3 linked regions of the Canis lupus familiaris genome follow. The protein of the gene in region 3 interacts with the protein of the main gene of each other region in a pairwise test. Links are inferred from orthologs where the notes say so. Each region holds a gene or a part of one and is shown on either strand. Other genes may lie near its edges. The genes, in order: MAPK1IP1L, RFX6 and SS18L1.

Region 1 (10,685 bases), on a different chromosome or scaffold from region 3:
CCTGAAGGCTAATTCTCCACTTAAGAGGTGACTATTAGAGCATACTTTTAAAGTAATTTCTGTAATTTCTTAAAAATAATGTGATGATAGATTTTCAAAGTATCCCCTTAGTAGACCCTGCAAATTCACATTCACTTCTGATAGTCTGTAATAGGCTTTCTTGGCTTGATTTGACGATAGAGATAACAGTACAATTTGGATTTATAGTTTAGACTCTGGAATTGGATGAACAATTGTAGTTTCCTCCTACCCTTAATAAGGTTTAGTAAAATTGATGTTTGCCTGTTATTTTAAAGTTGATTACATTTGCAGGAAGTAAAGATAATCACTTTTGCTGTGGTTATAATCAAATCTAAGCTTTCAGACTTAAAATAAAACTCACGGGGGTTTACTTAAATTATGCTGACTTTGCTAGGAGTGAGTGACTCAATTCTATGTAAGCCAAGTATGAACTTGATATATACTTGAATATACAGTTTAAGTAGTAATTTCACAAAGCTGTTAGTACTCTTGTCAGTTGGGCTTGTATGAATCCTCCTCTTACCCAAAAAGAAGTAGACTGTTTGCATTTTTATTTCTAATCCTGAAGTTGAATGTTTCTTCTTGGATGTGAGTTCAAATAAATTGATCTGAATAAATTTTCAATTCTTAATTAAAACTTCATACATAAAATCCAAAGGCTTTGTATATTGTTTTTAAAACATGGGCATCCCGGGTGGCTCAGCGGTTTAGTGCCGCCTTCAGCCCAGGGCCTGATCCTGGAGTCCGAGGATTGAGTCCCACGTTGGGCTCCCCGCATGGAGCCTGCTTCTCCCTCTGCCTGTGTCTCTGACTCTCTCTCTCAAGAATAAATAAATAAAATATTAAAACAAAACAAAACAAAAAGATAAAACATTGTGTGCCCTAGGGCTGCTGGGTGGCTCAGTCAGTTAAGCATCTGAATGAATTCTGCTCAGGTCATGATCTCTGGGTTATGGGATCAAGCTCTGCCTCTGGTTCTGCACTTGGGGTGGAGCCTGCTGAAGATTCTATCTCATCCTCTCTGCATGCTTGCTCTCTCTCTAGAAACAAAAAACACTATATCCAGACTTCGCACATTCAACTTAGAATCTAAAAAAGGTGGGGACATGAGTTAAGCATCGGACTTGGTTTCAGCTCAGGTCATGATCTCAGGGTCCTAAAAGCCCCACCAAACAGACTCTACTTGGGTTTCTTTCCCTCTCCCTCTGCCCTTCCTTTCCCCCACCCCTTCATTTTCACACTCTTTCAAATCTTTAAAAAAAAAAAAAAATTTTTTTTAAACTGAAAATTTTTAAAAATCCAAATTACACGTTTTCTAATTTATAATACATTTTTTTGTCCGTTTAGTGTGTCAGTTTAGGTCTTCCAGAAGCAGATGCCAAGATGTGATTAAATGTGCAAGAGACTGAAGGAAGAAGATGTGGAAGTCTTCCTGTCACTTTGCAAGTCTGACCTACATGAAAAATGCAAAGATTAGGTAGGGTGGGCTTCAGACTGCAGTGCAGTTATGAAAAGCTAGGTGGGGATTTAGTTACCAAGCAAAGGTTGACAAGGGCAGTCCACATGGGACAGGAATGGCCTAGCTCTAGAACTCAGCATGCTACTACTGGCTAAAAATATGGGAAAACGAGGCAGTCACCCTGATATGTCTGACCTGGACTAGGTGAAGTGAATGAGACAATTTGAGCGCAAAATATTTTTTACCCAAAACCTCAGCAATGAAAAGCAATATAACAATTAATTTGGGGATCCCTGGGTGGCGCAGCGGTTTGGCGCCTGCCTTTGGCCCAGGGCCCCGATCCTGGAGACCCGGGATCGAATCCCACGTCGGGCTCCCGGTGCATGGAGCCTGCTTCTCCCTCTGCCTGTGTCTCTGCCTCTCTCTCTCTCTCTCTCTCTCTCTCTGTGTGTGTGTGACTATCATAAATAAATAAAAATTAGGGGATCCCTGGGTGGCGCAGCGGTTTGGCGCCTGCCTTTGGCCCAGGGCGTGATCCTGGAGACCCAGGATCGAATCCCACGTCGGGCTCCCAGTGCATGGAGCCTGCTTCTCCCTCTGCCTATGTCTCTGCCTCTCTCTCTCTCTCTGTGTGACTATCATAAAAAAATTAAATAAATAAATAAATAAATAAATAAATAAATAAATAAATAAATATTTTTAAAAAATTAATTTTAAAATCAGAAGGGGACCGAGGGTGGCTCAGTCAGTTAAGCATGATCCTTAGGGCTTCCGCCCAAGGGCTCAGGTCATGATCCCCTTTCTCTGCCGCTCTCTTTCAAATAAAATCTTAAAAAATAAAATCAGGGGCACCGGCAACTCAGTGGTTGAGCATCTGCCCAGGTTGAGCATCGTCATCCTGGGGTCTGGAGTCCTGGGATCAAGTTCTACATTGGGAATCCCAGCTCAGCGGGGAGCCTGCTTCTCCCTCTGCCTTTTTCTCTGCCTGTGTCTCATGAATAAATTTTTAAAAAATCAGAATTAAAACAACAACCTAATGAAAAAAGGTCAAGATTTTATTTTTTAGGATTTTATTCATGAGAGACACAGAAAGAGGCAGAGATATAGGCAGAAGGAGAAGCAGCAGGCTCCATACAGGAACCCGATGGGGGACTCGATCCCGGAATTCCAGGATCACCGCTCAGGCCGAAGGCAGACGCTCAACTGCTGAGCCACCCAGGCGTCCCAGGTCAAGATTTTAAATATAGTTTTACTGACGTCTGCTGACTCAGGATTCCTTATAGCTCCATAAGGCATTACAGATTCACTGCCTCCTGACGGCAGGGTAAGTTGTTCACACTAATGTCATTTTCCATAGACCATTTTCCCTGTCCAAAAATAGGTCTTCCCCAGGCTTGGGTATTTGCAGTTTCTCTATTGCCTCTTTTCCAGTAGGAGAAGTGTGGGTTCTGGTGGAGCATACCCAGGAATAAGTCTTCCTTTAAGACGTTTCTAATAAAATGCCCCTGCCCAGTGACCCACTAAGGGGTTACCCAAAGAAGCAAAATGTACTGATACCGCATATTTCTAGTGTAGTTTTACATATAAAAATCTATGTACATACTGTATGTATATACATTTTGCACACTATATAATTACGGCAGATTCCTTGACAGCCGGGGGAATGTGTCAATCATCCTACAGACCTGACCCAAAGTAGGTAAAGGTTCTTTCAAAGATGAACATGTGGGGCCCCCTTCCCCGTATGGCTCCTGTAGCGCTCCCCAATTTCGGCCCGAGGGCCGGGATTCACTGGTTGGCCGCATTCACAGCCAGCCGGCATCCAAGCCCGGCTGTAAAAATCTCTAAGCGTAGGAAATCCAGAAGCAGTCCTCAAACCAGTCCAGGAAACAAGCTAGCAGTTTCCGCCGAGGTGCCCAGAACGTCACTGGCTACAGGCATTTCCTCCGAGGGCTCAGAATTCCGGAAAACCGGGGAGCGGTCCTCCCTCCCGCGGGAGGAAAACAGCCGCCCCGGGGCGAGCGGGAGGAGCAGCCGCCCGGCCCCGCCCCGCCCCGCCCCGCCCCGCCGGGCAGGCCGCAGTGCAGCGCGAAGCCTGCGGGGGGCGCCCGCGGCCGCACCCGGCCCGGGGAGGAGGGGGGAGAGCGCGCGGGGGCGGCGCGCTCGGCGCTTCCTGTTCCGGCGCCAGGAGGAGCCGCGCGCTGTTAGTGCTGCCGCTGCCGCCGCCGCCGCCTCCGCCTCCGCCGCCACCGCCGCCGCTGCTGCCGCCGCCACCGCCGCCGCCGCGCTCGTCAGTCAGTCCGCGTTCGGTTCTTCAGCACCCGATTCCCCCGGACCCATCGCCGCTTCTAGACTTTGCTGCGGGCTCGGATCTGGCCGGGTGAGGCTGCCTCGGCGCTAGTGGGTATCGTGGAGGGGGGCAGGGGAGCACGCCCAAGCGGGAGACGGGCGCGGTAACAGAGGAACCTCGAGTCGCCTCTTCAGGGGCCGGGACTAAACGTCGGCCCCCGCCATCTTCCCTCAGGCTGCGAGGTGCCCCCCGATCGCCCCCCGGGAGGAGGCGTCGGAGGCGGCTGACGTCGCGCCGGACGGGTTTCTCCGCACTTGACGTCAGGCCGGGTTTGGGGGCGGGGCGGCGAGAGGGCCCGGCCCCTCCCCCACCCTCCCCACCCCCACCCCTTTCCGGGCGGCGCGACCCGCTCGGCGGCCGGTTCGCTCCGGTTGATCCCGGACTCCCTTTGTTCGTTGGGCCCTGAAGGCTTCCCGGCTCGCGCCCCCTCGGTCCCCTCCCCCATTCATTAATTTCTAATAAAACGGGAGCGAGGGGCCTGAACAGCCTTGGAGGAATCTGGCACTTGTTTAATCAGATTGTCCGCCGTGTGACAACGTTCCGGTCGTTAGTTGCCGAAGGAGTTGCTACACAGATCCTATTCGACGAATACACATGACAGAAGCCGTGAGTTCGGCGACACTCTCTTTCTTAGGATTTGGGGGCTTGTGTTACGCATGGAAGCTTATAAATAGCTGAGCCGTTTCCTCTTCGAAAACCAAAAGCAGTGCTTTTACTGGTTAAAAATTTCTAATGTTGAGGCATCAGACCGTATTCCCCTGACGGGAAAAAAAAAAAAAAATTACTGCTGAAGAAATACACACTCTTACACACCTGATGGTTGTGAAGGCATGTTCTGTAAAGGAGCCTCCTTTTACAGGCCAAGGTAGCCTTCGGAGAGCTTTCAGAAGTTCTTTGTTCGGCTGTATTCACTGGGCAGCAACAGGAATTTTTCTGGTACTGGCGTCTCTGAACCTCCTATTTAAAACTAGTTTGTCTCAGCGACTTGAGTTGGGTTGTGTGTGTGAGAATGTTCTTTTCTTCTCTCCAGAAGGAACAGAGAGAGACCCATTCCTTAACTGCAAGGCTCGGGGCCGGTATGTTTTGGAATTCAGCAATCTTCGAATTGTGTCTTTAGATTTTAGAAAGAGTAAGATGCGTAGGCCAGAGGTGTCACCCTCACAAGGTCCCAGCAGCATCCCTGAGACTACGGTAATAATGGTGCAGGGATAGGCGTGACTTCATGGAAACTGTAAATATCCTCAGGTCACGTTTTGCCACCCAACTAAGTTTTATGCCAAATTCTGGAATTTTCCTTTTCTTTTCAGAAGTTTCCAAATCGAGAACTGCAGATAAAGGTTTGCAGGCCTGTGACCGCGATTGTAAAAGTTAACGTTTGTTGAGTTTTCCTTGAGTGCCAGAGAGAGACCAGGAGATTTATTTTGTCAGTCTGGGGGCAGGTCTGCAAGGTGGATACTACTCCTGTGTACTTAAACCTCTGGAGTTTGAAGAATTCAACCTGTCCATCACCTGCCAGTGAAGAGCTAGGGTTTTATCTACGCAGCCATAACTTTCAGGGTCATTCTTTTAATCTCTGCTGCCATGCCCATGTAGGAAGAAAGACAAGGGAATATATATCTGTTGCCCATCCACTATTTTTTAGAGCACTGTTATTATAGACACTTAATTTATGAATACCATTTAGTCTTTCGCATCACTAGCCCTTTTATAGTTGAAGAAACTGAGTCACTGGGGTGAGCTGAATCTGATTGAGACATTCAAACCTCAGTTTAAAGGCTCTCTGCTAAAACTTCTATCCCTCCCCTCTCTGTATTCCAACCAATTCGAACTGCTTATATTTCCCATAGCGTATTCTTGCCTGCTTTAGCTTTTGCACGGTCTGCTCTTTCCCGGGGCCTGTCCCATCATCCCCTACTGCCAGCTCTTCATTGTTCTCCCAGACTGCAAAGGAACCTCTTCTCAGGGTTCCTCCCCTTATTCTCCTTTCCTTGATTCCTTTAGGTGCCCTTTAGGTACTCAACTTGGTGCCCTGGGCTTACCCAAAGTAAGGTAGTTACTATTTAAAGGATAGTTCAGGGGGGTTCCTGGGTGGCTCAGCGGTTTACCACCTGCCTTTGGCTCAGGGTGTGATCCTGGAGTCCCAGAATGGAGTCCTGCATCGGGCTCCCTGCCTGGGGCCTGCTTCTCCCTCTGCCTGTGTCTCTGCCTCTCTCTCTCTCCCTGTCATGAATGAATGAATAAATAAATAAATAAATAAATAAATAAATAAACTTTAAAAAAAAAAATAAAGGGTAGTTCACCAGATTGTGAATTCCTTAAATGTCTATTCTGTGTAGTACTCTTCATTTCCCCAAAGCCTAACAAGACAGTGCCTGGTGTGTATATTCCAGGCATAAGTATAAAAAAAATGATACTTTAAAAAATTATGTCTTTTGGGACGCCTGGGTGGCTCAGCAGTTGAGCATCTGCCTTCAGCTCCAGTTGTGATCTCAGAGTCCTGGGATCAAGTCCCCACATCGGGCTCCCCGCGGGGAGCCTGCTTCTCCCTCTACTTGTGTCTGCCTCTCTCTGTGTCTCTCATGTATGAATAAATCTTTTAAAAAAATAAAAATTATGTCTTTCAAAAGCTTAAGAATATTCAAAAACTTTACTAAGTCCTCAGTTCCTTGAGTTGTCCAAATGTAAAATGGAATGTATCTGATAAGAGAGTCAATAATAAAAATGATCAAATATTCTTTTTTTTTTTTTTTTTAAGATTTTATTTATTCATGAGAGAGGCAGAGACGTAGGCAGAGAGAGAAGCAGGTTCCTTGTCAGGAGCCGGATGTGGGATTTGAACCCAGGACCCCTTGATTGTGCCCTGAACCACCCAGGTGCCCATAATCAAATATTCTAATCAGAAATTTATATTTTCAATATGTTACCATCATATTCCCCCATACTAAACAAATCAGTGCCAAAGTCTTGATTTCTCAGTTTCTTTTTTTTTTTTTTTTTTTTTTTAGAGGTGGGGAGGGCCAAAAGGAGAGGTTTCTTGGGGGGGGGGTTGTTTTTAGATCTTATTTAGAGAGAGTGGGCGGGGTGGGAGCAGAGGGGAAGAGAGAATCTCAAGCAGACTCCTCTCCTAGAGCACCCAGCCCCACCTGGAGCTTGACCCCATGACCCGGAGATTATGACCTGAGCCAAAACCAAGAGTGGGATGATCAACTAACTGAGCCACCCAGGCATCCCTCTTAGTTTCTCTTAATAAACATCTTATTTGTCTGTAGTACATTATAGATTATTAAACATGTTACTTTTAATTTATCTGTGAAGTAGTCAGGAAGTAAAACTTTTGCAGATGAGCGGTGGTCTATGGTTAAGCTTGCCTTAGTCAAAAGAGTCAAAGGATTGATTTCCACATTTCATAACTGTCTAGTCCTGTGCTCTTGACACTCCACCACAAATTGTGATGGCCCTTTGAAATATTCCTTGATGGGTAGTCACTAGTAATTTACAGAGTTTAACTTGTTTTTAGAACCTCCTGGTCGGATGCCTGGGTGGCTTAGGGGTTGAGCGTCTTCCTTTGGCTGAGGGTGTGATCCCTGTGAGGAGCCTGCTGCTCTCTCTATGTCTCTGCCTCTCTCTCTGTGTCTGATGAATAAATAAGATCTTTAAAAACGAATAATAAAAAATAAAATAAAATCTACTGGTAATTGGATTTCCATTTGACTCTAAAAGCCTTAAGAGTGGGGATCCCTGGGTGGCTCAGCGGTTTAGCACCTGCCTTTGACCCAGGGCATGATCCTGGGGCTCCAAGATCGAGTCCCACATGGGCTTCCCTGTGTGGAGCCGCCTTCTCCCTCTGCCTGTGTCTCTGCCTCTCTCTGGGTCTCTCATGAATAAATAAATAAAATCTTAAAAAAAAAAGCCATAAGAATTACAGAAATGTTTTACTTTTCTGAGGTATGTCAAAAGAAATTTTGTTCTGCTTTTAAGTTTCTGTTTTTACTGCTCAGATAATAGAATGACTTTCAGTGGATACATCATAGATCTTGCCATAAAGTAGTAATGGAAAGTTTTAGAAATAATAGCTTTACTGTATTCCAAAAAGAAAAAATGAAAATCTTGATTATGATTATAAACTGGGGCGGGGGGGGGGCGTTCGGGGTTACTTTGGCCTCATCTAATTAGCATAATCCAGGATGCCTAGGTGGATCAGTTGGTTAAGTGTCTGACTCTTGATTTTGGCTCAAGTCATGACCTCAGAATCCTGAGACGGACCCCCACGTAGGGATCCATCCACATTTGGCGTGGAGCCTGCTCAAGAGTCTTTCTTTTTTTTTTTTTTTATTTATGATAGTCACACAGAGAGAGAGAGAGGCAGAGACACAGGCAGAGGGAGAAGCAGGCTCCATGCACCCGGGAGCCCGACGTGGGATTCGATCCCGGGTCTCCAGGATCGCGCCCTGGGCCAAAGGCAGGCGCTAAAACCGCTGCGCCACCCAGGGATCCCCCAAGAGTCTTTCTTTCTCCCTCTGCCTCTACCCCTACCCTCCCAAAATAGCATATTCTAGGTATTTTGGAATAGTTTTTTAGAAGAGTCTCAATTTTAAAAAATTACGCAAGTCTTCCTATATTGAAACACTGCTGACAGGACACCTGGGTGACTTAGTGGTTGAGTGTCTGCCTTTGGCTCAGGTGGTGATCCTGGGGTCCTGGGATCGAGTCCTGCATTGAGCTCCCTGCTCCCTGCAGGGAACCTGCTTCTCCCTCTGCCTGTGTCTCTGCCTCTCTCTCATGAATAAATAAATAAACTCTTAAAAGAAAAAGAAACACTGCTGTCCAGCTCTGCTTTTTACCTTTTATGATGCAAGTAAGTAAATTAGAATGTTTCCCATTAATATGAACACTGCATATTCTAGACAATGGAGAGAAGGTCACTTTACTAAAAGTTCCTATAGAACAAGAAATGATCTACCTCTAATCCCTTTAGTGAGGGCTTCATTACTTAATCATAAGATTCTAATACCTCCTTTTTCAGGATTTTATTTTTAACTTCAAATTTTGAAAGCCAGAGTTGTGAGTCAGTTTAATATTATTAACTTACGGAATAACTTACACTCTAATGTAATTTTACAACTAGTTAACTTTATATAGTGTTTGTATATATATATTTTTTTAACTAAGAGGGAAAAGAGTAATTCTGAAAACCTGAACAGCAAGCAAGAGCACATGAATTTGAATGGATTGCTTTGTTAGTTCTCCACTCCAGAATTAATGTGAACTTTGATACAGAACCATTTTCTGTTTCAGAAAGGTTCACCCTGTTTGAAAAGCATGTTACTGTCTTATGTAGACTTTAAACTTGTCATGCACTGATAAAGTTTTTTCAGGTGTTCATCCTAAGAATTTACTCTTGTGTGATGTAAGGTTTTAGTACAAAACCTTAATGTGGGAATGAATGGATAGTTGTATATACTATATATTCAAAATGTGTTTTTTGATATTCTGAATAAATAGCAAGATTATGGCAGTTGTAGGCTTCACACTTTGTCTTTATCATTCCTGTTAGCCAATTGTACTTGAAAATAAAACTAAAACTGCAAGGATGGCTCAGTATTAAGCCGTTTTCATGTGTAATTAACTATTCATGGATCAAAGGAGAGAAACTGTGATCAGCTCATTAGATGTCAAAAAGATCAAAAGAAATGCAGTGTCTTCTCGAAATGTTTTTTAACTAGCAAACTAGGAATAAATAAATCTAGCAACATAGGCATAAATAGACATCTTTAATGTAATTTTTTCCATCTTAAACTAAAAATAGGAATGCTTTTAGGATTTTATTTGAGAGAGCAAAAAAGAGCATGAGCAGGATGAGGGGCAGAGGGAGAAGCAGATTCCCGCTAAGCAGGGAGCTTAATGCGGGGCTCCATCCCACAACATGGGGATAATGGCCGGAGCTGAAGGCAGACACTTAACCTGTGGAGCCACCCAGGTACCCCTAAAAAATGGGAATTTTATGTAAATGTTAGAAGCATTTCTAGGAGAGTTGGAACAAGACCATTGTGCTCTCTATCACTAACGTTTCATTGTAAAGTTTAGCTGATGCAAAGGAGAAAAGAGGTGTAAATATTGAAAAGAAAATGTAGGGCAGCCCAGGTGGCTCAGCGGTTTAGTGCCGCCTTTGGCCCAGGGCCTGATCCTGGAGATCTAGGATCGAGTCCCACATTGGGCTCCCTGCATGGAGCCTGCTTCTCCCTCTGCTTGTGTCTCTGCCTCTCTCTCTATCACTCTCTCTGTGTGTGTCTTTCATGAATAAATAAAATCTTTTAAAAAGAGAGAGAATGTAAAATAAACTTGCATATTTGTTTATTGCAAATGATAGAATTCGTTACCTGAAATCCCAGAGAATCAACTGTGACACTTTCAGGAATAAAATAATTTAATAACATCACTGTTTACAAAAGTAATTCAGTAAAATTTAAAAAGCCTTTCACTTAGGGGTGCCTGATTGGCTCAGTCAGAATGTGTGGCTCTTGATCTCAGGGTCATGAGTTTGAACCCCACGTTAAGGCTAGAGTTTACTTTTTTTGGCTAGAGTTTACTTTAAAAAAATAAACTATTGAGTGATAAATGACAATGATGGAAACCAGGAAGATATACTTTGTTCTTGAATGAGAAGATTTGATATTTTGTTTTTGTTTTTGTTTTTTTTAAATAAATTTTTATTTATTTATGATAGTCACACACAGAGAGAGGGAGAGAGAGAGAGAGGCAGAGACACAGGCAGAGGGAGAAGCAGGCTCCATGCACCGGGAGCCCGACGTGGGATTCGATCCAGGGTCTCCCAGGATCGCGCCCGGGGCCAAAGGC
Region 2 (10,044 bases), on a different chromosome or scaffold from region 3:
TTATATATATATATATATATACACAAACACAGTGAGATTATATATATATATATAAACACAGTCTAGTACCCAGTGAACACTTAATGAATAGGAGCTATTATCATTACATCCTATTAGTGCTTGGATAAATTTTTTTTTTGTTAAACAAACAAGTAAACAATAATTAGTACATTATTTTCCAAAGGCACTACCCATTGAAGTATGGCAAATTTTTGCATCTTTTCCAGGAACCACATAACTGCACTCTGAGAATCAAAGAGCAGCCGAGAAGACATGTTCTCATATGTTTCTGAAACATCTTTCCTGATCGATTTGACTTGTGCCACAAACTGAGTCAAGTCAGATCTTCCAGAAATTGAATACTTTCATTTTCCTAAAATTTCTGGGATTCTTAGTTTGCAGCTATGATGCTAGCTCATGGACAGTACTTCTGCATTTAGTAGTAGTTGCTTTTCTAGAAATCTTCAAATTATAAATAGGTTATAGTTAACTAGGTTGTTTTTATTTAATTCTCAGTAGAATTAGATAAAATCAGTGAACTTGCATGGAGGGATGAATAAAACATATTGAGCCTATTATTTGAAATATCTTGCTTATATGTGAAGTTTCTTAAAATATACAACACCGAAGCCTGACTTTATTATGAAACCAGACTTTTGTTGGGAAATCGGTGGAATAGTCCAAAGAAGTTTAAGATTTTCCAGGACAACTTCCAAATGAAAATGACTCTTTTGTTTTTTTTCCAAACCAAAGAGAACTTTGTTTCAGGCCAGAAAGACATCTTTCTTGATACTTTTTTCAGACCATGGTGGCCATTGTCTAATTATTTAGTACAAAGTAAACAGAAATAGAGCAGAGTAGAGCTCATTCTCCCCAGGTTAAAGCTTATCACACTCCAATGTGTGCCCTCTTAAAGCATAAAGCATGTCTCACTTTCATCCGTATTTTCCTTTGATGTAATTAGTGGCCAAAGAGCTGGCAGGACAGTACACACAGTAAGCTGGGCAGGCGGTACACAGAAAGATTAGAGACTCAAGTTAAGCATGTTGGTCTTAGCAGGTCATTTAAAGTCCAACAAGTATTTGTTTATTTCAGTTGCTCCTTGTAAAGTGTTGTGAGATGGTCACAAAGATAACTCGACTTCTCTCTCTCTCTTTCCTTCTCCTTCTCTCCCTCCTTTTATCTCATAATGCCCTCTCCCCATTCCCATCCACAAACAAGGTTCTTTCCATTTGATCCGAATGCTTCTTGATGAATACATTCTCCTTGCCATGGAGACCCAGTTCAATAATGACAAAGAACAGGAGTTACAGAATTTATTGGACAAGTATATGAAGAATTCAGGTAATTTAAAATGTATATCTTATTTTTTGCATATTTCTTTCTTTAAACCTAAATTCAAGAATTTGTAAGTACACGTTGAGTGGGTCGATAAGTCTCAGTTTTTTTCCCCGAGTGTGTCACAACTAACAGAGGGTGTCAACACTATTGGAACACTAGTTTTTCTCTCCACCATTTACACATAGAGTAGTCAAAGGAGTTTACTGGAAGCTCTGGAGGATATAAAATTGATGTTCTTGGGAGAATTTACACGAAGGTAGAGAGGTGATTATAACAACAACAAAAAAATAACCATAATTCAAGACAACACCTGTGGTACACCACCTCATATAAATGGTGTAGAAATAAGTTCTATAGAAGTTTATTTTTTTTAATTTTTTAAGATCTCCGGTCTTCGGGATCACACCCTAGGCCAAAGGCAGGCGCTCAACTGCTGAGCTACCCAGGGATCCCCTCTATAGAAGTTTAGAGAAGGAAGAGAACATTTCAGTTTGAGATGTGATGACTTGCATTTTGAAGTCTGTCCACTCCAGAGTAGATTCCTAAGTGCTCCTCAGAACACACTTCACACTCACAACTGTGCAGATAACAATGACCACTAAACCCCAGCACCACTGCCATGACCAAACATCTGCCAGCCTCGTTTCCCATGGAAGATATTTCTCTGCAGTTGCCAGATTTATGACACAACCCTAAAACATTTTCAGTTTCCTTTTCTTGGGCTTATTTGTTAGGAATATGGGAATGATGTTAGCTTTCCCATTTAAAAAAAAAATCTTTCCAGATGCAAGTAAAGCTGCCTTCACTGCTTCTCCAAGTTCATGCTTTCTGGCCAACCGTAATAAAGGCAGCACCGTTTCCAGCGACACTGTGAAGAATGAAAGCCATGTGGAAACAACCTATCTTCCTCTGTCATCCAGTCACCCCGGAGGCTTACCCTCTGCTCTGCACCCATTCCCTGCTGGGAATACAGACAACATGCCACTCACAGGTATGCTGTGAAATGCTTGGGCCTCACCACATCTCCTTTATTTTCTTCAAAACTGATAACGTCTAGCCATTGCAAGATTTTAAAAGATTTGCCTTTCTATTAAAGCTTTATAATATTTTTGTGATTTTCATCATTTGTCATTCACGCTTTTATCAATACCACTATTAACATAGGTACTACACTGTGAGGTGGTCGTTTCGTTATATTGGAAGTACAGATAATGAGTTGTCTTCATTCAGTGGAAGAAAAAATTAGAGTAGGTATAAATAAGATTCTGAAGATGCCTTGAGAGTCAAAAAAATGGGATTCTTATTTATTTTTGGCTTCTGAGAAGATTTTCTTTCTCCCCCATTAAAAAGTAGATTTGGTCATTTTAGGATAACCACTTCAATAATTTTCCTCTTTGGTCTGGAGTCCCCGTTGTGTCAGTCTGAATGTTTAGTGGCTTGTACTCACTACTAGATAATACTGTTCTAAGTCCACTACTTGCCTTAATTCACAGATATAATTTCATTGGACACACAGAATTTTAATCCTGGAAGGCCTTTTAGTTCAGGGGCCTAATTCCACCAATGGAGAATCAGACACCAAGGAACTTGGTGGCATCAAAACTCCATTGTTCATCAGTGGTGTTTGCATGATGTTTTGAATTGGCTGCTTTGAAGCCATGCCATTTTGACCTTATTGCCTTTTTCTTTTACCCTAAAAATCAAACCAGTTAGCATTCAGCTTGTTTTTTAATTATGGAAAATGTAAGAACAGAGCCCTTGACCTTCCCATGCTTGAGCTCTAACCGTTTTCGTACCCATGGAAGCATGAGGCCTTCCCAAACTTTCATGCATAATTACTAACTCCAAAAGTCTTCACTGTTGTGAAATAGACATGTATTGTGATGGTTTTATTATTTATTTATTTATTTATTTATTTATTTATTTATTTATTTATTGTGATGGTATCTTTGAAACCTAGGTTTTTGGTGTTCCCCAAAACACCAGGTTTTGTTGTTTTTAGAGAATAGGAATGAACCAAATCGGGAAAAATATTAATAAATCTTTTGAATAATTTTTAAAGATGTGCACCCATCTGTTTTAATATGCCACTGGTGAATGCTGCAGTAATTTTTTTCCAGGTCAAATGGAGCTTTCCCAGAGCACTGGTCAACTGATGACACCCCCCATTTCTCCAGCCATGGCAAGCCGAGGAAGCGTCATTAACCAAGGGCCAATGGCGGGGAGACCTCCAAGTGTGGGCCCAGTCCTGTCAGCCTCCTCACACTGCTCAACATTCCCAGAGTCCATCTATCCTACCCACCCTCAAAGCAACCATGACTTTTATGGGACCAACTCTAACTATCAGACTGTGTTTAGGGCACAGCCTCACCCCCCATCAGGACTCTATCCTCATCGCCCTGAGCATGGTCGATGCATGGCCTGGAGTGAACAGCAGCTTTCTAGAGACTTCTTCAGTGGCAGCTGTGCTGGGTCTCCATATAATTCTCGACCACCTTCCAGCTATGGACCATCCTCACACAGCCAAGATTCACACAGCATGCAGTTTTTAAATACAGGAAGCTTCAATTTTCTGAGCAACACAGGGGCTGCCAGCTGCCAAGGAGCAACATTGCCTCCGAATTCACCTAATGGTATTGAAATTTTAAAGAATTTTTCCTGGTTCTTGAGATGGCAGTAAGGCAAAATCAGACATTGAGCTCTACCTCTGCTGAGCAGCATGTCATCCCATGTAAAGTTTCTAAAGATCTTGGAATGTTAGGTGTTTGAAGCTCATTTCTTTCATATACAAACATATATCTAATTCTTGTGGTTTTTTTAAAGTTGCCCTTCTAAATCCCCAAATGATAAAAATATTAGGTCAAACGTGTGTTTGAGATCTCCCTTAATAAGCCCAAAAGAAGAATGTTTTGTCCTTTGAAAATATTCCTATTGAATAATGTTTCTTCTAGAGAACTAGCAGCAGATCTTACAGCTTAGGACCCAAACAGTGCTCCCTGTTAGTCTGATAAAACACTTAAAGTTTAGGGAGTTGGAAAGATCCGTGACTTCAGCTGCCAAAGCAGCTCTGCGTCCTCTTTCCTAAATGTAGGCCAGTCCTTCTTCCAGAAACACAATTCTGTAGATACAACTGGTATTTGACAAGCAGTGTAATCTTTGCGAGAGGTTAGTAGTGCTTTTTTTCTTTAAAAGAAGATCTTGTTAATGTAGATGAGGAGAATATGAGAGAGATGTAGTCTTTTATCTGAAAATTAGCAATAGAATAACTCCTTTGTATTTTTTAAAAATAAAAAGCCAGCATTGTGAACCATAGCCATTATACAAGCACAAATCCAATTCTATATAGTAAATGTAGCTGTGAATGTCATGTTTATAATGCAATATCTTTAGGGCTCTACTCTATTGCCTTGTCCCTTTTCCCTTCCTGTAATATTTTTTGTAATAAGTGAACAGAACATTCTTGACATTTTCTGTTCTAGGATACTATGGAAGTAACATAAACTACCCAGAGTCTCATAGGCTTGGATCGATGGTGAATCAACACGTTTCCGTCATCAGCAGTGTTCGCTCACTGCCTCCCTACAATGACATCCACGATCCACTTAACATTTTAGATGACAGTAGTAGAAAGCAGACCAGCTCGTTTTACGCAGACACATCGCCTTCCGTTGCGTGTCGAACTCCAGTAGTAGGTAAATTATTTTAGTAGTTCTTGGAGACATTTTAAAAAGCTATGAATATCAGGTATGTAGTTTTGCTCTGGAGGGTGACTGTTGAGGTGAGCTGGGCACTCATGCTCTCACGGGTGATCTATCCCTTTGGATCTGAAGTCTAATTTTTGTATCTATTGATAATAGTCTTCCCCGTTCTCAGTATATATGTCACTGTGCAGCCTACTGCCAAATCTGTTATTCTTTAAAAGAGAATAGCTGGCACCTTTTATGTTTGCAAAAAAGAAATATAACCCATCAGCCATAGTCTAAAGACTTTACCTTTTATGAAAGCAGTAATGATGTCTTTTTCTCCCTCTTTCTGATTCACTGTTGGATGCAGGGGCAGTGCCAAGAGGTGTCTTTGGACCCCATAATCTCCAGCAGTACCCTAAACCACTCCAGGTTCAAAATAATGGTGATTTGTGATAGAGGTTACTGTCATTTTCTCAATAATATGTAAAATGTGATTAGACAGCTTTGCAGAAAATGTTGCTCCTTTTATTGTTCTGCTACATACGGTTTAAGTAAAAAATGAGCAAAACTGTGTGTTTGCCATGAAGTCCCCTCGCATCTTCTTCTAACTGGGTTGCTCTCCCTGGGAAAATCCTGAGACTTGTACTAGATGTGTTAGCAGTACCCAGCTAAGTGTCTGCCACATAGTAGGAACTCCACACATCAGTGAGTTGGAAAAAAAGGGGCAAAATACATGGGTAGAAGCAGTTTCCTGTATTAGGAATAAGGGATCACATGCAAGTATAGATGCATGTAAGTGTCAAGGCAGAGTGTTAATGTTTATATGCGATGGTTGAAATCTTCCAATGGAATGGATTTCAAGCTAGGATAAGTAAAGGGCTTTGACACCCAATGGGAGCATAAGGGAGAAGGAGACACATTCCATCTCTCCTCCTCAGTGTGCTTTTCCAATAACTCAATAGGAAGCACCTCTTCCCTTCCCGTGACCATTACAGATGCTCCCTGAGCAGAATCTAGCAGCTCATCTCCTGTTATCTGCAGATGGTCATTGCTTCTAGGTTACTCTAATGAAGCAGAAAATTCCACTTCAGGAAGTTTCCTCACCGTGAGACTAAAATGTATCATGTTGCTATTGTTACTATTAGTTCTGTTTACTTGTAGAGATAGTGGAAGCTTTGCTGGAACATAGCTTGGGTGTAGGATGGATTCTAAGCTCTAGTCATCAGAGGTGGCTTACAGGTAAATGGCAGAGAGGGCTTCTGAGTGAAGGGAGGACCCACTGTCTGCTTCCTTAGTTATAAAGCCTGGTTTTCAGGGACAGCGAAGAAGGTAGTCAGAAAAATGAGAAAAACAGCAATGAGAAGCCAGCAACCACACATGCAGGAAATGCAGTGTCAGAGAGCCAGTTGGTCAGATTCTCAGGAACTTACTAACATGTGCCAAACTTCATTCTAGGCATTGAGGTTATGGTGGCAATTGGGATGGAATTCCTGACTATAAGAAGTTTACATTCTAGTGAAGAGAGATAGAGCAATGGGTATATAGACAAATGCATTACAAAGATAACGTTGGATACTCTGAAGTCAATTAAATGGGTAAAATGACAAATAATGATGGAGAAACTGCTTTCAGTCAGATAGTTGGGAAAGGAATCCTGAGGCAGGGATATTAGAGTTGAAAGCTGAATGATGAGGCAATGACACAAAGGGCTGAGGATGGAGTTCTAGGCAGAAGAAATGACAAGTGCATAGTCTCTGAAATGGAAACAAGGAAAATTCAGTGGGCAGAAAGAAAGCCAGGGTGTTTTGAGCATAGTGAATGAAGACAGTGTAAAAAATAAATCAGTGGCCAGAGACCAGTTCACAGAAGATGTTGTGAATAAGGGCAGGAAGCTTGGATTCTGTCCTGCGTAGTGGGAAGTCATTGTAGCATTTGAAGGAGAGTGACAATTTACTGTATACTTGAGTGACATTAACCTGGCAGCTCCCTGCAGAATGAGAAGGTGCGGCAAAGGTGAGGTCATGAGACCAGTTAGGAGGCTGCTGTGTTGGTCCAGGTAGGAGAAGATGGTGGGTATTTTGTTATTTTTTTTTAAGATTTTATTTATTTATTTATTCATGAGAGACACAGAGAGAGAGAGAGGCAGAGACACAGGCAGAGGGAGAAGCAGGCACCATGCTGTGGGGGGGGGGGGGGCCTGACGTGGGACTCGATCCCAGGTCTCCAGGATCAGGTCCTGGACTGAAGGTGGTGCCAAACCGCTGAGCCACCCGGGCTGCCCTGTTATTGTTTTTTAAATTTAGAATAAATTAGTTAATATACAGTGTATTATCAGTTTCAGAGGTATAGTGATTGATCAGTTGCACTCAGTGCTCATTACCGCAAGCACCCTCCTTAATGCCCATCACCCAATTGCCCCATCCCCCCACACCTTCCCTCCAGCAACCTTCAGTTTGTTTCCTATAGTTAAGAGTCTCTTATGGTTTATCTCCCTCTCTGATTTTGTCTTATTTTATCTTTCCTTCCATTCCCATATATTCATCTGTTTCTTAAATTCCACATGTGAGTAAAATCACACAATATTTGTCTTAGCATAATACCATCTAGTTCCATCCACATTACTGCAGATGGCAAGATTTCATTCTGTTTGATGGCTGAGTAATATTCCATTCTACATATATACATCTTTATCCATTCATTTGTTGATGGACATCTGAGCTCTTTCCATATTTTGCCTATAGTGGACATTGCTTCTAGAAATACTAGGATGCGTGTACCCCTTCAAGTCAGTATGTTTGTATCCTTTGGATAAATACATAGTGTAATTGCTGGATTGTAGGGTAGTTCCATTTTCAATTTTTTGAGGAACCTCCATACTATTTTCCAGAGTGGCTGTACCAGTTTGCATTCCCACCAACAGTGTAAGAGGAATCACCTTTCTCTACATCCTTGCAAACATCTGTTGTTTGCCGACTTATTAATTTTAACCATTCTGACTTGTGAGAGGTGGTATCTCATTGTATTTTGATTTGTATTTCCCTGATGCTTAATGATGTTGAGCCTGTTTTTCGTGTGTCTGTTGGTCATTTGTAGATCTTCTTTGGAGAAGTGTCTGTTCATGTCTTCTGACATTTCTTGACTGGATTATTTGCTCTTTGGGTGTTGAGTTTAAGAAGTTCTTTATAGATTTTGGATACTAGCCCTTTATCTGATAAGATATTTACAAATATCTTCTCCCATTCTGTAGGTTGCCTTTTTGTTTTGTGGATGCTTTTGTTGCTGAGCAAAAGTTTTTATCTTGATAAAGTCTCAGTAATTCATTTTTGCTCTTGTTTCTCTCGCCTTTGGAGACATCTAGCAAGAAGTTGCTGTGGCTAAGGTCACAGAGGTTGCTGTCTGTGTTTTTCTCTAGGATTTTGATAGATTCTTGCCTCACATTTAGGTCTTTCATCCATTTTGAGTTTATTTTTGTGTATGGTGTAAGAAAGTGGTGAAGATGGTGGTTTGAACAATGGAAGAAGTATGGGTGGAAAGAGGAGGTAGATTTGGGATATATTTGGGTGATAAGGTTGTCTGAATTTAAGTTTGAAATTGAGTTTTCTTCATGAAATCTGTAGAAGGAAAAACAATTTCTAGGAAAATAGAATAAATATGTGTGATCAATGCAAACATAAACATAGAGACTTAAAGTGAGTGGCACTTGCAAAGAAAAAAATGTCAGTCAATATTCAATTGCTGATTATATTTTCCTTTACAGCATCCAGCTTGCAAACCCCAATTCCTTCCTCCTCATCTCAGTGTATGTATGGAACTTCCAGTCAGTATCCAGCTCAAGAGACCCTGGATTCCCATGGAGCGAATGGTAGAGAAATGGTGTCCTCTTTACCACCCATCAACACTGTGTTCATGGGAACAGCAGCTGGAGGCACTTAAACCAACAATGTTGGGTGGGGATTGAAACCAAAAATCTCTACTGCTCAACTACTATTCACTCAGATTGCTATCAGGGTAAAGAAAATGGAATATACAGTGACAAAACATTGTTTTTCAAGTCACTGTTACAAAACTTTGGACAACTCCATAATGAGTGGAGATACTTGCAGACTTTGCTTGCCCACAAATTGTTTAAAATGTGATCTCATTATTAATTATAGTTTCAAACATTATCAAATGGAACCAGTGGAGCTTTGAAGATGCAAACATTCCAACTCTGAAGATTTAATATTTTGCTTCCTAATTTATTGAAAAGTCTGTGTGCTGTTTCATATTTGGTCTATAAAAGGAAAAAAATATTTAATGCCTTTAAAATAACTTTAATTTATTAGGGTCTCAGAATCATTGTTTACTATCCCTTATTTGACCAAAAGTCAAATGTGTATGTACTACCTCCTATGGAAATGTTTACAGGGTCAAGACTTAATTCAATTCAGCCTAGACCAAAGTTGCTTGACTTTCAATCCTGTGCGTTAGTGTGATGATTTCTGTTACATAGCAGTATTCGAATTCTATGTAACTGAATGGAGATTATAAATGCTTTCCCACTTTATTTAAGAAAGATAAGAAATGAAAGAAATAAAGTACGGAAATATTTTTAAAGGCTCGATTGCTCTCAGAGCTGTTACTGTTTCTGAAAAATGCTTGGGATTTTCAGGTGAAGCTCCTTTGAATATTGAATTAAAGACTAAAGATGGTTGGTCAAAACATCGTAATTCAAGAATACATTCCATATCATATCCATTCATATATATATATATATATATGTGTATATATATATATATATGGAAATTGTAGCTGATAGACTGAACTTCTGCAGATTTGAAAGCAGTCTTTAATCAAGTACGTGGCTTAGAAACTAAGAGCGAATGATCATCTGAAAGCAGGGATCATCTGAAAGCAAAGAGAAATTTAAAAGTGAGGAATTTATTCCATATGAGTTAAGAAAATTTGAAAATTTGATACACCATCTATCTAACTCTTTTTTTTTTTTTTTTCTTTATCATATGTCTTAGCTGAGAGG
Region 3 (10,044 bases):
GAGCCCTCAGGCCTGGAGGAGGAGGGAGCGCCCGGGTGCAGTGCAGCGGTCACGGCGTGCATTGGTTCTCTCACAGTAGCTGTGTCGGCAGCCCGCAGACGGAGGGAGGAGCAGCAGCCGGGGTGTCCCACGTGACACGAGCGGGTGGTCCCCACTGGCATTCTTGGGGCTCTGGCCCTCTGTCCCTAACCTGTTCCCCGGCCAGCAGGTCAGGGCCCTAGCACCGGCCACGGGTGCCCTGGGATCCCCGGGCTGGGAGTGAGGAGCTGGCCCAGCCCAGCCCCCAGGTGCAGGAGTTGGGGGGTGGCACTGACGTCCCCAAGTCCTGCGGGACTGTGAAGCGGTGGCGCCGGTGTGTCCTGCCGCATCTGCAGTGGCACCTCTGATGGCATCTGCTGATAAGGTGACTGCTCACCCTGCCGCAAGAACCTGACAGAAGTTGAAAGGTTCCGGGGAGAAGGTGCTAGATGTTGGTGCAAAGAAGGCTCCTGTAACTGGGCCCCACACCACTTGGCCAACACGGCTCCTGTGCAGAACGCACAACCTTGGGGAGTGGTTCTGTTCCTTTTCAGCCGGAGGTTGCTGGGAGGTGGGGGAGCCGTCGGCCCTCGGGTTGGGGGCGGTGGGAGCCGGGGGCCTGTGGGGTGCATGGGAGCATCCTGGGCTCAGATCCTTCTTCAGCTGATCGGTACCCAGGCTCAACCGTCGTGTACCTCAGTTTCTTGGTGGAAACATGGGCGAAGGGAGCTCCTCGCAGGCTACGTTTTTGGCGAAGCAAGGTGACCTGGTCCCGGAAGGCGCTTGGCGTCCCAACTGCGGGTCTTCAGCCTCTGGAGCAGACACTGGACCGGATGTATCAGTGGCGACAAGGGTGTGAGAGGTTCACCCCAAATGGCGGTGACCGCGGGGAGTGCAGGGTCCTATGTGGAGGAACACGCGGCGGCTGCGTGGGCTCTCGAGACACGAGTCAGCGCCCCACCTTGGAGGGAGCACGCGCCTCTTCCCTCCACACGAGAGCCCAGTGGCCTCAGTGCCCGTGACTGGCCTCTGTGAGCGCTTCCAGCACGGAACCCAGGGAGCGACTCCCGCAGGCCCCGGGGAAGACAGGCGCGTGTTTGCTGGAGCGCCAACGTTAAGCATGTGTTCCTGTGTCCTTAGTTTCTGGAAATTGGGCACGTGCGTCAAACACGGAGGTGGTAGCACCACGAGGCAGGGACCAGCTCCTCCCAAGGACGCTTTGTGTTTGGGGTTTGTGGTCTTGAAACCCACACCTCACTCACGTGCTCGGCAGCTAGCTCCCCTGGGCGCTCCTCGGGGGAGCCTGATGCCACGGGCCGACCTCCCGCGCCTCCCCGGCGGCTGCCTGCGTGCCCCGGGCGCAGTGGGCAGAGGCCGAGGCCCAAGTGCAGGTGCAGCCCCCGTGACGCGCAGCCAGCTCTCTGGCCAGCCCGCGCTCTTCCCCGCACCTCAGGCTGCTCCTAGGAACCTCCCCGCGCCCGCCCTCCTTGTGTGGGAGGCGAGCTTCGTGGTCCCGTTTGTGTCCGCGAAAGGCACGAGGCCGCGTGACGCCCACGTGGAATTCGGAAACAGGAGCTTCGGGAAGAGCGAGGTGGGGTCTCCTGGGCCGACGTAGAAGGATCTCCAAGACTCCAGAACAGAAGGGACCCCCGTAGGCCAGAGGGAGGAAGCTGTTCCACCTGTGTGCACGGACGGGGGCTCACCCCCGCGGCTGCGAGTGGGAAGAGCCGAGGGGCAGATTCGGGAGAGCCCCCAAGACGAGGCTCTCCCCGCCACTCGCCGGCCACAGCTCGATGTTGACCTTTGGCCCCTCCAGGTGGTATTGCCAACCTTTTAGGTCATCTCTCCTCAGGAAGGCCCCCTCTGGAGTGGGTCGTCCCTCCTCGAAGTCTCGCTTGGGTTCGGTCACGTCTCCTCAGGAAGCCTCCCCCGGGCTCGGGCTGTTGCTCTCCACCGTCCGCCAACCTGTGCCCCGTGGAGCAGCTCCGTGCCGGGCTTTTTCAGTCTGTTCGTTGTTCGGATCTCGCCTTGTCCTGGCGTCTTGGCGAGCTGGCCCCTTGGAGAACGTTCTGATCTGGAAATTCATGCCCTTCGGTTTTGAGAAAACACGTTGAACAATTTTTCGGATGATTTTTCTCCCTGTGTTTTCTTTCTGGAAGTCCGGGAAGCATTGTTTCTTGCCACTTGGATCATTTTTCTAATTTTACTGTTTTCTGTTTTCTACCTTAGTGTTTTCAGTCTGTTCTCTGGGAGTTTCCTCAACCGCATGTTCCAACTCTCCGTTGACTGGTTGGCGCCGGTCAGCACGCGGCGCCTCGGGCTTTGCTCTCCGCAGTGTCCGGCGGCCTTTCCTGACCCGCTTTCCTGGCTCTTGGGGGTGGTCGGGGCTCTCGTGCGTCGCTTTGTAAGTTCCTTTCGGGGGAGATCACGTCTCCCCCGGGGCAGGGCTCCCTGGCTCGGCGCTTGGGGTCGGCCTGCGGCGCCACGGGTGCCTGCGGCTCTTCCTCACCCCGTCCGCCCCCCTGAGCGGCGCGCGCCCGGCTTCTGGGGGCCCCGCGGGGCCGTCTCCGCGCCTGCGCGCTGGGCTCTCACGTGTTGGCCGCCCTCGGGTTCTAGAACCCTGCCCACGGCCCCGACGCGCCCTTACTCGCCGAGGTCGCCGGGGTTAGAGGCCAGGGCGCCCGGCCGCGTCCCTGCCCGCCGTGGCTGGCCCCGTCCTGGGTGTTTTCCGCCCACTGGGCCAGTGCCCGGCCTCGCCGCGTCCTCTCCTCACCCCGACGGCGGACGATCGTGCCGTCTCGCGCTCAGAAAAGCCCCGGGCTGGTGACGGCCGGTGCTGCTGCGCTTCCGGTGAGCGTCTGGCTCCTCCACGTGCTTGAGCGGCACCTGCGGGGCTGAGGCGACCTGAGCCAGACCTGAGTCCCAGACCTGAGTGTGCTGTGCCTCCCGCCGCGGCGGCCCAAGGTCCCAGTTCTTCCCTCTCTGGGCGCCGCGGCCTCAGCCAGCCCCCAGCATCAGCCAGCCCCCGGCCCCTGCAGCCCCCGGCCCCTCCAGCCCCCGGCCCCTGCAGCCCCCGGCCCCTGCAGCCCCCGGCCCCTGCAGCCCCCAGCATCAGCCAGCCCCCGGCCCCTCCAGCCCCCGGCCCCTGCAGCCCCCGGTCCCTGCAGCTCCCGGCCCCTCCAGCCCCCGGCCCCTGCAGCCCCCGGCCCCTGCAGCCCCCGGTCCCTGCAGCCCCCGGCCCCTGCAGCCCCCAACCCCTCCAGCCCCGTGCCAGGGCAGCATCTCTGCCCAGCGGATGCGGCTGTGGCTGGCGGGGTCAGGCCGGGCCACCGGCTCTGCGGGAGTGGAACCCTGAGGTCAGGATGCAGCGAGGGGTACCCTCGGCCGGTGGCCCGTGACCCTTGGAGCCGAGCCCCCCACAAGGACGTGCGCCCTGGCGGCCGGCGCCGTTCGTCGCTGGCCAAGGCGCGGCTGTTCCTTTGGCGCGAGGCTCTGAACGAAGGCCCCCGCGGAAAGCGGCGCTCACCTTGGGCTCCCCTCCGCCCCTCCTTCCAGAGCAGGAAGCTGGGCACATGCGCGGCTGCAGGAAGAGCCAGAACCTTCTCTTCGCAGCCAGGGGGAGGACGCTGGCTCTGTGCCCGCCTAGCCGCCCCGGATGCCTGCGGACCCCGGGCCTGTCTCCCCCGCCCCCCCGCTGCTCCCACTCCCCCGACCTCCCTCCCTCGCCCCCCTCGGGTCTCCCCAGGCCATCCCGGGCGCTGTCCCCCTTCGAGGTCGTGGTGTTGCTCCACAGGGCCCGTCTCCCGGGAGGCACCGCCATGTGGCCCTGAGGCGGGGGGCTCCAGTCCAGCGTCCCGCACGTGGACTCCGCAGCCCCCTAGCTGGGCACACACGCTGGGGTCAAGGGCCCTAGACGGCGGGGAGGCCTGTGGGCCGTGGGTTTGCCTCCACCACGTGACAGACCTCGGAACCTGCCCCTGGGTTCGTGGGGGACTGACCGTGGCGCACGGAGGGTCGCGCTCAGCACAGCCCCGGGAGGCCGGTCCTGCTGGGGGGGTTGAGGTACGCCTGCACGCCGGCGACGGCGCTGTGCACCTGCTGGAGGGACGCCAGCCGTGCTCACTGTGCTTCTCTGCAGATGCTGGATGAGAACCACCACCTGATACAGTGTATCCTGGACTACCAGAGCAAGGGCAAGACGGCCGAGTGCACCCAGTAAGTGGCCGAGCGGCAGCGGCGGTCCCGCCCAGAGGATGGCCTCGCCCACTGGTCGCTGCCCAAGGAGCGGGAGGTTTGCGGGGAGATGGAAGCATGGGAGGCGGGCCGGCTGCTGGACACACAGGGGACAGTGCGCTCCTCCAGCTAGGACCTCGTGTGGCCCCCGGGCCTGGCTGCAGCAGGCCTGTCAGAGCCCCCGGGGGCCGGTGGCGGCAGCAGCCCCGTGTGCCTGAGGGTTTTCTCTGCTTCGGGGAGCCGGCCTCTCCAGGGGTGCAGACGTATCGAGTCAGCCTGGTGTCGGGGTCAGATGGAGGAGGCCTTGTGCGGAGTCTGCTCGGGCGTCTGCCTCAGCCTCTGTCCTCTGCCCCCCTGTGACCTCTCCTCCACCCCCTCCTGTTCTCTGAACAGACCTGGTGACCCCTCCCCTTGGCCCCCGTTTTGGGGTCTTTCCGCATGCTGTCATCAGATGGGATCCTGCTCAGGACTCAGGCTGGGGCCCGTTCCCTGCCTTGCCCTGTCTGACCACAGAGCATCTGGTGCCTGGCCTGTCCCTGGGCATCGCCTGCGCTCAGCATCCCCTTGGGGCTTGGCTGCAAGGCAAGGCTGTCCCCGGTAGACATCTTCGGATTGGCCTCCGGCTCCTCTGCCTCACCGTGCGCCCTCACCCGCAGGTACCAGCAGATCCTGCACCGGAACCTGGTCTACCTGGCCACGATCGCGGACTCCAACCAGAACATGCAGTCCCTGCTCCCCGCTGTGAGTGCTTGCAGAGGGGGGGACGGTGGGGCCCCGTCCTAGCCCAGCGCTATCAGGCGCTGCTTCGAACTGCTGGTTCGGAGAGCAGATGTCTGAGCGCGTTACCTGGAGTAACCAGGTAACAGGAGCATGGAAAGAGGGTGGGAAGCCAGTCAGAGTCTGAAGTGGACTGGTCAGAATTGTGACACCCGTTTCTTAAGCAAAGGGAGGTGACCCAAAGGAACCAAACCTCTAATGGCAGGAGGCGGGTCTTGGGAGAGCAGGGAGTGCCAGTGGCACACAGGATTCTTGCTCTTTATCGTGAGCCCTTCTGAGCGATTGGAAAAACGGTAGCCTGGGAACATATGCTGCTCTGATTCAGCAAAACTGCAGAAGCGCCCGGTGCAGTGAAGGCTGTAAACACCAGTGTTAATTTTCTTTAAATTTTTTGCTTAACTTTTTAAAAGTCTTTTTCCCAAAATCAAATTATTGCCGCAAAAGCAAGACCTAGTGGCGGCTGCCTCCTCCACAATAAACAGGAAGGCACGGCCTCAGGAGGGCCTGGCCCTTGCGGGACCAATGGGCAAGGAGGTTCCAGGACAAACCTGCCACCGGGAAGGGCTTCCTGCTGCCCCTAGTCCCTTGGAAGTGACTTTCTAAGTGCCGGCATGTGTTTTGCTGACAAAATCATTGCACCAGCCTTGATTGGCCTATGAGATTGGGACTCCTCAGCCTGGAGGTACCAGTGGATCCTGCTGGGAACTTTGTTTTCTCGGCCAGGTTAGGCAGCATATGGGTCCAAACCTTTGGAGGTGCTCTTTGATTTGGATTGAGGACATGAGATGCAGGGGTCACTCCATCCCGTTGCCCTCTATATCCTGATCAGAGGTGGGCTGGCAGCAGGGCAGGGCACACACAGAAGAGGAGCGACAGGAATGCCAGTGCTAAGGCACGGGGCAGTCTCTGCGAAGGCCCTGGGGCATGGAGTGGTGTGGATGAGGACATAGAACCCTGGCGAGCTGAGGGGCAAGGGTGTGGAGTAAGTTGAGGTAGATGCAGTCTGGGGTGCTGTATCCCCGGTAAAGAGGACCCATCTTTGAACTTCTAAGGATGTGTTGATAAGCTTGGAAATTCATTTAAGTTCTGAATGTTCACACAAGAATGCTTGGTGTATTATCTTGGCCTAAAAGGCTTGGGCCTAGTGATCCACCATCGTCTGATCAAGTATGAGAGCAGCAGTTGGTTCTAGACATTTGCCAGGTGGCCATGAGACAGGTGGATCTCACGGGCCACCAAATCTCTGGAGGGCTTCAGGTGGTTATTCTCTGGGTTAACCATCCTCCCTGTTACCTCCCTGTTGCCTGCAGCCGCCAACGCAGAACATGAACCTGGGCCCCGGAGCACTGTCCCAGAGTGGCTCCAGCCAGGGCCTGCACTCCCAGGGCAGCCTCAGTGATGCTATTGGCACGGGCCTGCCCCCGTCCTCCCTCATGCAGGGCCAGATCGGCAACGGTGAGTAGCTTTGAGCACCTCGGGGTTGGGGCTGGCTACTGGCAACCATGTCACCAACTCGGGCTCCCGGGTGACCACTGTCTCAGCAGGGTACCCCATGCCCCACAGAGCTGAGTGTGGGACCGCCCTCCTCCCAGAGGTCCTGGCTCCAGGTCGGCTGCTGTGCGCGGGCACACGTGTACCGGGAGTAACAGGCAAAGGGAATCCAGTACTTCCGATCCCGTGCTCTGCTTTGACGCTCTAATTGTGGCCATTTCACATTGTCGTGTGGGGTTCTGTGTGGATTTTTAAAATGAGAACAGAAAGGTTATCTTTGGAGCAAGAACTGTCCATAGCCATTGGGAGCTCTGACGATGATAACGGGCGAGTCCTCTACTTGGTCAGCACGTGTGTTTGTTTCTAATGACTTAACTGTTTACTTCATCTGTGGCGCTGTTGACCACAGGTTAGCCTCCCTCCCCACAGTCGCTGAAGGAACTCGGGTGTCTAGAGCAAGGCCAGGCCTGCCATCAGAGGTCGTCTTCGATGGGTTTCAGGCCCCCTCCCTGTGCTCCTGGCAGGTCCAAACCATGTGATGCAGCAGACAGCACAGAGCACGCTGCCCACCACCTCCATGAGTATGTCGGGCAGTGGCCACGGCACGGGGCCTGGCTACAGCCACTCGGGACCCGCCTCGCAGAGTGTGCCCCTGCAGGGCCAGGGCGCCATCGGCAACTACGTGTCACGGGCCAACATCAACATGCAGTCCAATCCAGGTACTGCTCTGCTCAGCCCTGGGGCGCCCCCTGCCCCCCTTCTACCCAACCCCAGGACAGTCCCCGAGCCCTACGAAATGTGTGCAGGCTGCACATTGTAGTCCTGTAGGGCTTCTGAGATGGCGGGAGACCCTGGGACCAGACCATCTGGGGTCTGGCTTTGTGGAAGGGTTTCCACTGTTCCCTGTGGTAGCTTGGGGGAAGGTTCTGCTAGGGGGTGGGAGGGAACTAAATCAGACTAACACAGGATGGGGGGACAGTGTAGCCAGACTGCAGAAGTAGGCAGGGTGCAGGGCTACAGACCCCCGCGGGCCAGGCATGGGGCTCTGAGCACTGGGTAGCATCAGGTCCAAATCACTGTGGGACAGTGTCAGGCACTGGATTTCAGAGATATGATAGAGAAAGGGAGAACATGTAGTGTCTACTTAGTTTATTTTTACTATTAATTATATACTGAAAATGAGGGTATTTTGAATATATCAAGTCAAACAAGGCGTATTACTAAAATAGATCTCACCTGTTTGCTTCTATTTTTGGCACGGCTCCCATCCCATCCCTTCCCATCCCATCCCATCAGATAGGGCTGCTCTAATGGGTTTTGAAGGCCAGGGGGCAGCGGCCATCCACCAGGAACCTTAGAAGCCCAAGTCTCAGGGCTGGGCACAGGCATGGCTCCTCTGGGACCTGTCTTAGGAATTCGGGAAGACAGGACATGTGTTTCTCTCATGCATGGAGGTGGCCCAGGAAATTCTTAAATCTTAAATTGGGAGAAAGGTGCCTGGGGTGAGGGGTGAGGACACCCGCCCGGGGAGCTTCTCGGGGTTATTTGGGTCTGTCGTGTCGCCCAGTGTCCATGATGCACCAGCAGGCAGCCTCGTCCCACTACAACTCGGCACAGGGCGGGAGCCAGCATTACCAGGGCCAGTCGTCCATCGCCATGATGGGCCAGAGCGGGCAGGGGAGCAGCATGATGGGGCAGCGGCCCATGGCGCCCTACCGGCCCTCCCAGCAAGGTAAGGCCCGTGCCGGGTCTTTGTCCTGAGAAGCTGGAGGGCGTGAGGCTTTGCACGTTCCTTAGGGTTGAACCAGGATGTCGGGGGTGTGGAGCCTTGTGGGGCTAAGGAAACATGGAAGGTTGTAAGCCAGTGCTGCTTCTGGAAGCAGACGAGGCTTGAGCCGGCATAGGGGTTGGAGTCGGGCGCAGGGCCCGAAGCAGGGACAGGACTGTTGTGTTTGTAAGTACCAAGTCCGGGGTACCCGGGCTGGATGTGGGGAGAATGCTTGGGTGGCCTGGGGGGTGTCCTCTGATCCGAGGCCCACGGGGGGGTTGCTCCCATAACGGAAGAATGTCCTGAGTTAATGACCCATGTGCACTGTCCGCCTCCAGGGTCCTCCCAGCAGTACCTGGGCCAGGAAGAGTACTACGGCGGCGAGCAGTATGGCCACAGCCAGGCCGCCTCGGAGCCCATGAGCCAGCAGTACTACCCTGATGGTGAGGCCCGCAGCCACACTGTCGGGCAGCCGCGGGGGACCGTGTGGCTGCTGACTGCCGCTCTCTGTCCTAGCCCTGACCTCCGCCAGCAGAGCACCCAGAGGCCCCTTGCTGGAGTGTGTTTGGGGATGAGAGTGAGGGCTTGTCTGCCAGTGGGCCGAGTCTGGTCTCCATGGAGAAGCTTCCGGCACAGGCCACAGCTACCCACGTACTGGAGGCTCTCCGTCTCCCTTCCCAAAAGGCAGTAGGGGCTACAGCTGGGATGAATAGGTGCATGTAGCTGTTCTAGAAGAAGGACACAGGTGTCATTGTGAAGTGCCTTCAGGAAGGTGACAAACCTGACCTGGCCGTTTGATCTGCTGCTCAGTTACAGTCTCTGCAGATTATTTTTCCTTCAGTGCTCAAGTAGGGTGATCCTTTGCATCTTAAAGGAGGGAATGGAGGCCAGGAGGCAGTAGGAAGCTCCTTCCTGGGTTTAGTGCAGGGAAAACAGATCCAGGTCCATGTCTGGCCGCTCCTGATCTGACGGCTTTGCCCAGTTCACAGTGTCTGCGCCCTGCGATCCGGGGGTCTCGGCCTCCGCTGACTGCATGTCATCTGTTTGCCTGCAGGACATGGTGACTACGCCTACCAGCAGTCATCCTACACGGAGCAGAGTTATGACCGGTCCTTCGAGGAATCCACGCAGCACTACTACGAGGGCGGTAAGGAGCGCAGGGGCCGCACAGCCAGCTCCGCAGCGTAAGCTGCTCGCACAGCTTGGAGTCTGACCCACACCTGCAGCAGGTGGTGCAGGGCTCTGTGAGGCACTGCATCCCCGTTCACGATGCAGGTGGGTGGAGGGGGCTTGGCTGGCCGTGTAGGGGTTGCAGGGGCACAGACTCCACCATGCGGCTCAGCTGACCAGCTTGGGGCCTGAGAGCTCAGTGGAACACGCTCCGGAGTTACGGACTCAGCCGGGGAGGTTCTAACACCCATGCCCCTCCTGAGTCAGTGGGCAACGTGTGTGGCTTCGGCCTGGGCATTTCTTCAAATACCAGCTGACCAGATAAAGCATGGCTTGGGCTAGGGGCCTGTGCAGCCCCCACCCCGGCATTCCCCCATGGTGCTGCCCTGGGGGCTGTTCATCGGAGGTGGGGTGAGGCAGTGATGAATGAAGCTGGCTTTATTGACAAAAACCCAATGACCAGCACACACCCGTTTCCCTGCTGCAAATACTCCCACCCGTGCTGATGTCCAGCCACCAGCATGACGTCACCACACACAGAACTGGGAAGAAATCTGCACAATTGCTTCTCGGCGGGGCCCCCATAG

The links.
Region 1: the proteins of SS18L1 (region 3) and MAPK1IP1L interact in binary tests that used the Homo sapiens proteins (3 or more experiments, as listed by UniProt). The two-hybrid records come from large-scale screens. The link is inferred for Canis lupus familiaris from reciprocal best matches to the Homo sapiens genes SS18L1 and MAPK1IP1L.
Region 2: the proteins of SS18L1 (region 3) and RFX6 interact in binary tests that used the Homo sapiens proteins (3 or more experiments, as listed by UniProt). The two-hybrid records come from large-scale screens. The link is inferred for Canis lupus familiaris from reciprocal best matches to the Homo sapiens genes SS18L1 and RFX6.

Annotation. Positions count from the first base shown.
Region 1 is NC_049229.1:31,202,753-31,213,437, forward strand, and holds the start of MAPK1IP1L (MAPK-interacting and spindle-stabilizing protein-like), read left to right. Parts: upstream 1-3,709; 5' UTR 3,710-3,860; intron 3,861-4,214; exon of another isoform or gene 4,215-4,424; coding exon of another isoform or gene 4,425-4,436; intron 4,437-4,742; exon of another isoform or gene 4,743-4,766; intron 4,767-4,999; exon of another isoform or gene 5,000-5,021; intron 5,022-5,037; exon of another isoform or gene 5,038-5,061; intron 5,062-10,685.
Region 2 is NC_049222.1:57,840,851-57,850,894, forward strand, and holds part of RFX6 (DNA-binding protein RFX6), read left to right. Parts: intron 1-1,221; coding exon 1,222-1,344; intron 1,345-2,125; coding exon 2,126-2,332; intron 2,333-3,461; coding exon 3,462-3,974; intron 3,975-4,820; coding exon 4,821-5,033; intron 5,034-8,784; coding exon 8,785-8,960; 3' UTR 8,961-10,044. UniProt on the Homo sapiens protein: Transcription factor required to direct islet cell differentiation during endocrine pancreas development. Specifically required for the differentiation of 4 of the 5 islet cell types and for the production of insulin.
Region 3 is NC_049245.1:47,026,889-47,036,932, forward strand, and holds part of SS18L1 (calcium-responsive transactivator), read left to right. Parts: intron 1-4,156; coding exon 4,157-4,233; intron 4,234-4,907; coding exon 4,908-4,992; intron 4,993-6,338; coding exon 6,339-6,483; intron 6,484-7,043; coding exon 7,044-7,238; intron 7,239-8,086; coding exon 8,087-8,251; intron 8,252-8,625; coding exon 8,626-8,730; intron 8,731-9,341; coding exon 9,342-9,434; intron 9,435-10,044. UniProt on the Homo sapiens protein: Transcriptional activator which is required for calcium-dependent dendritic growth and branching in cortical neurons. Recruits CREB-binding protein (CREBBP) to nuclear bodies.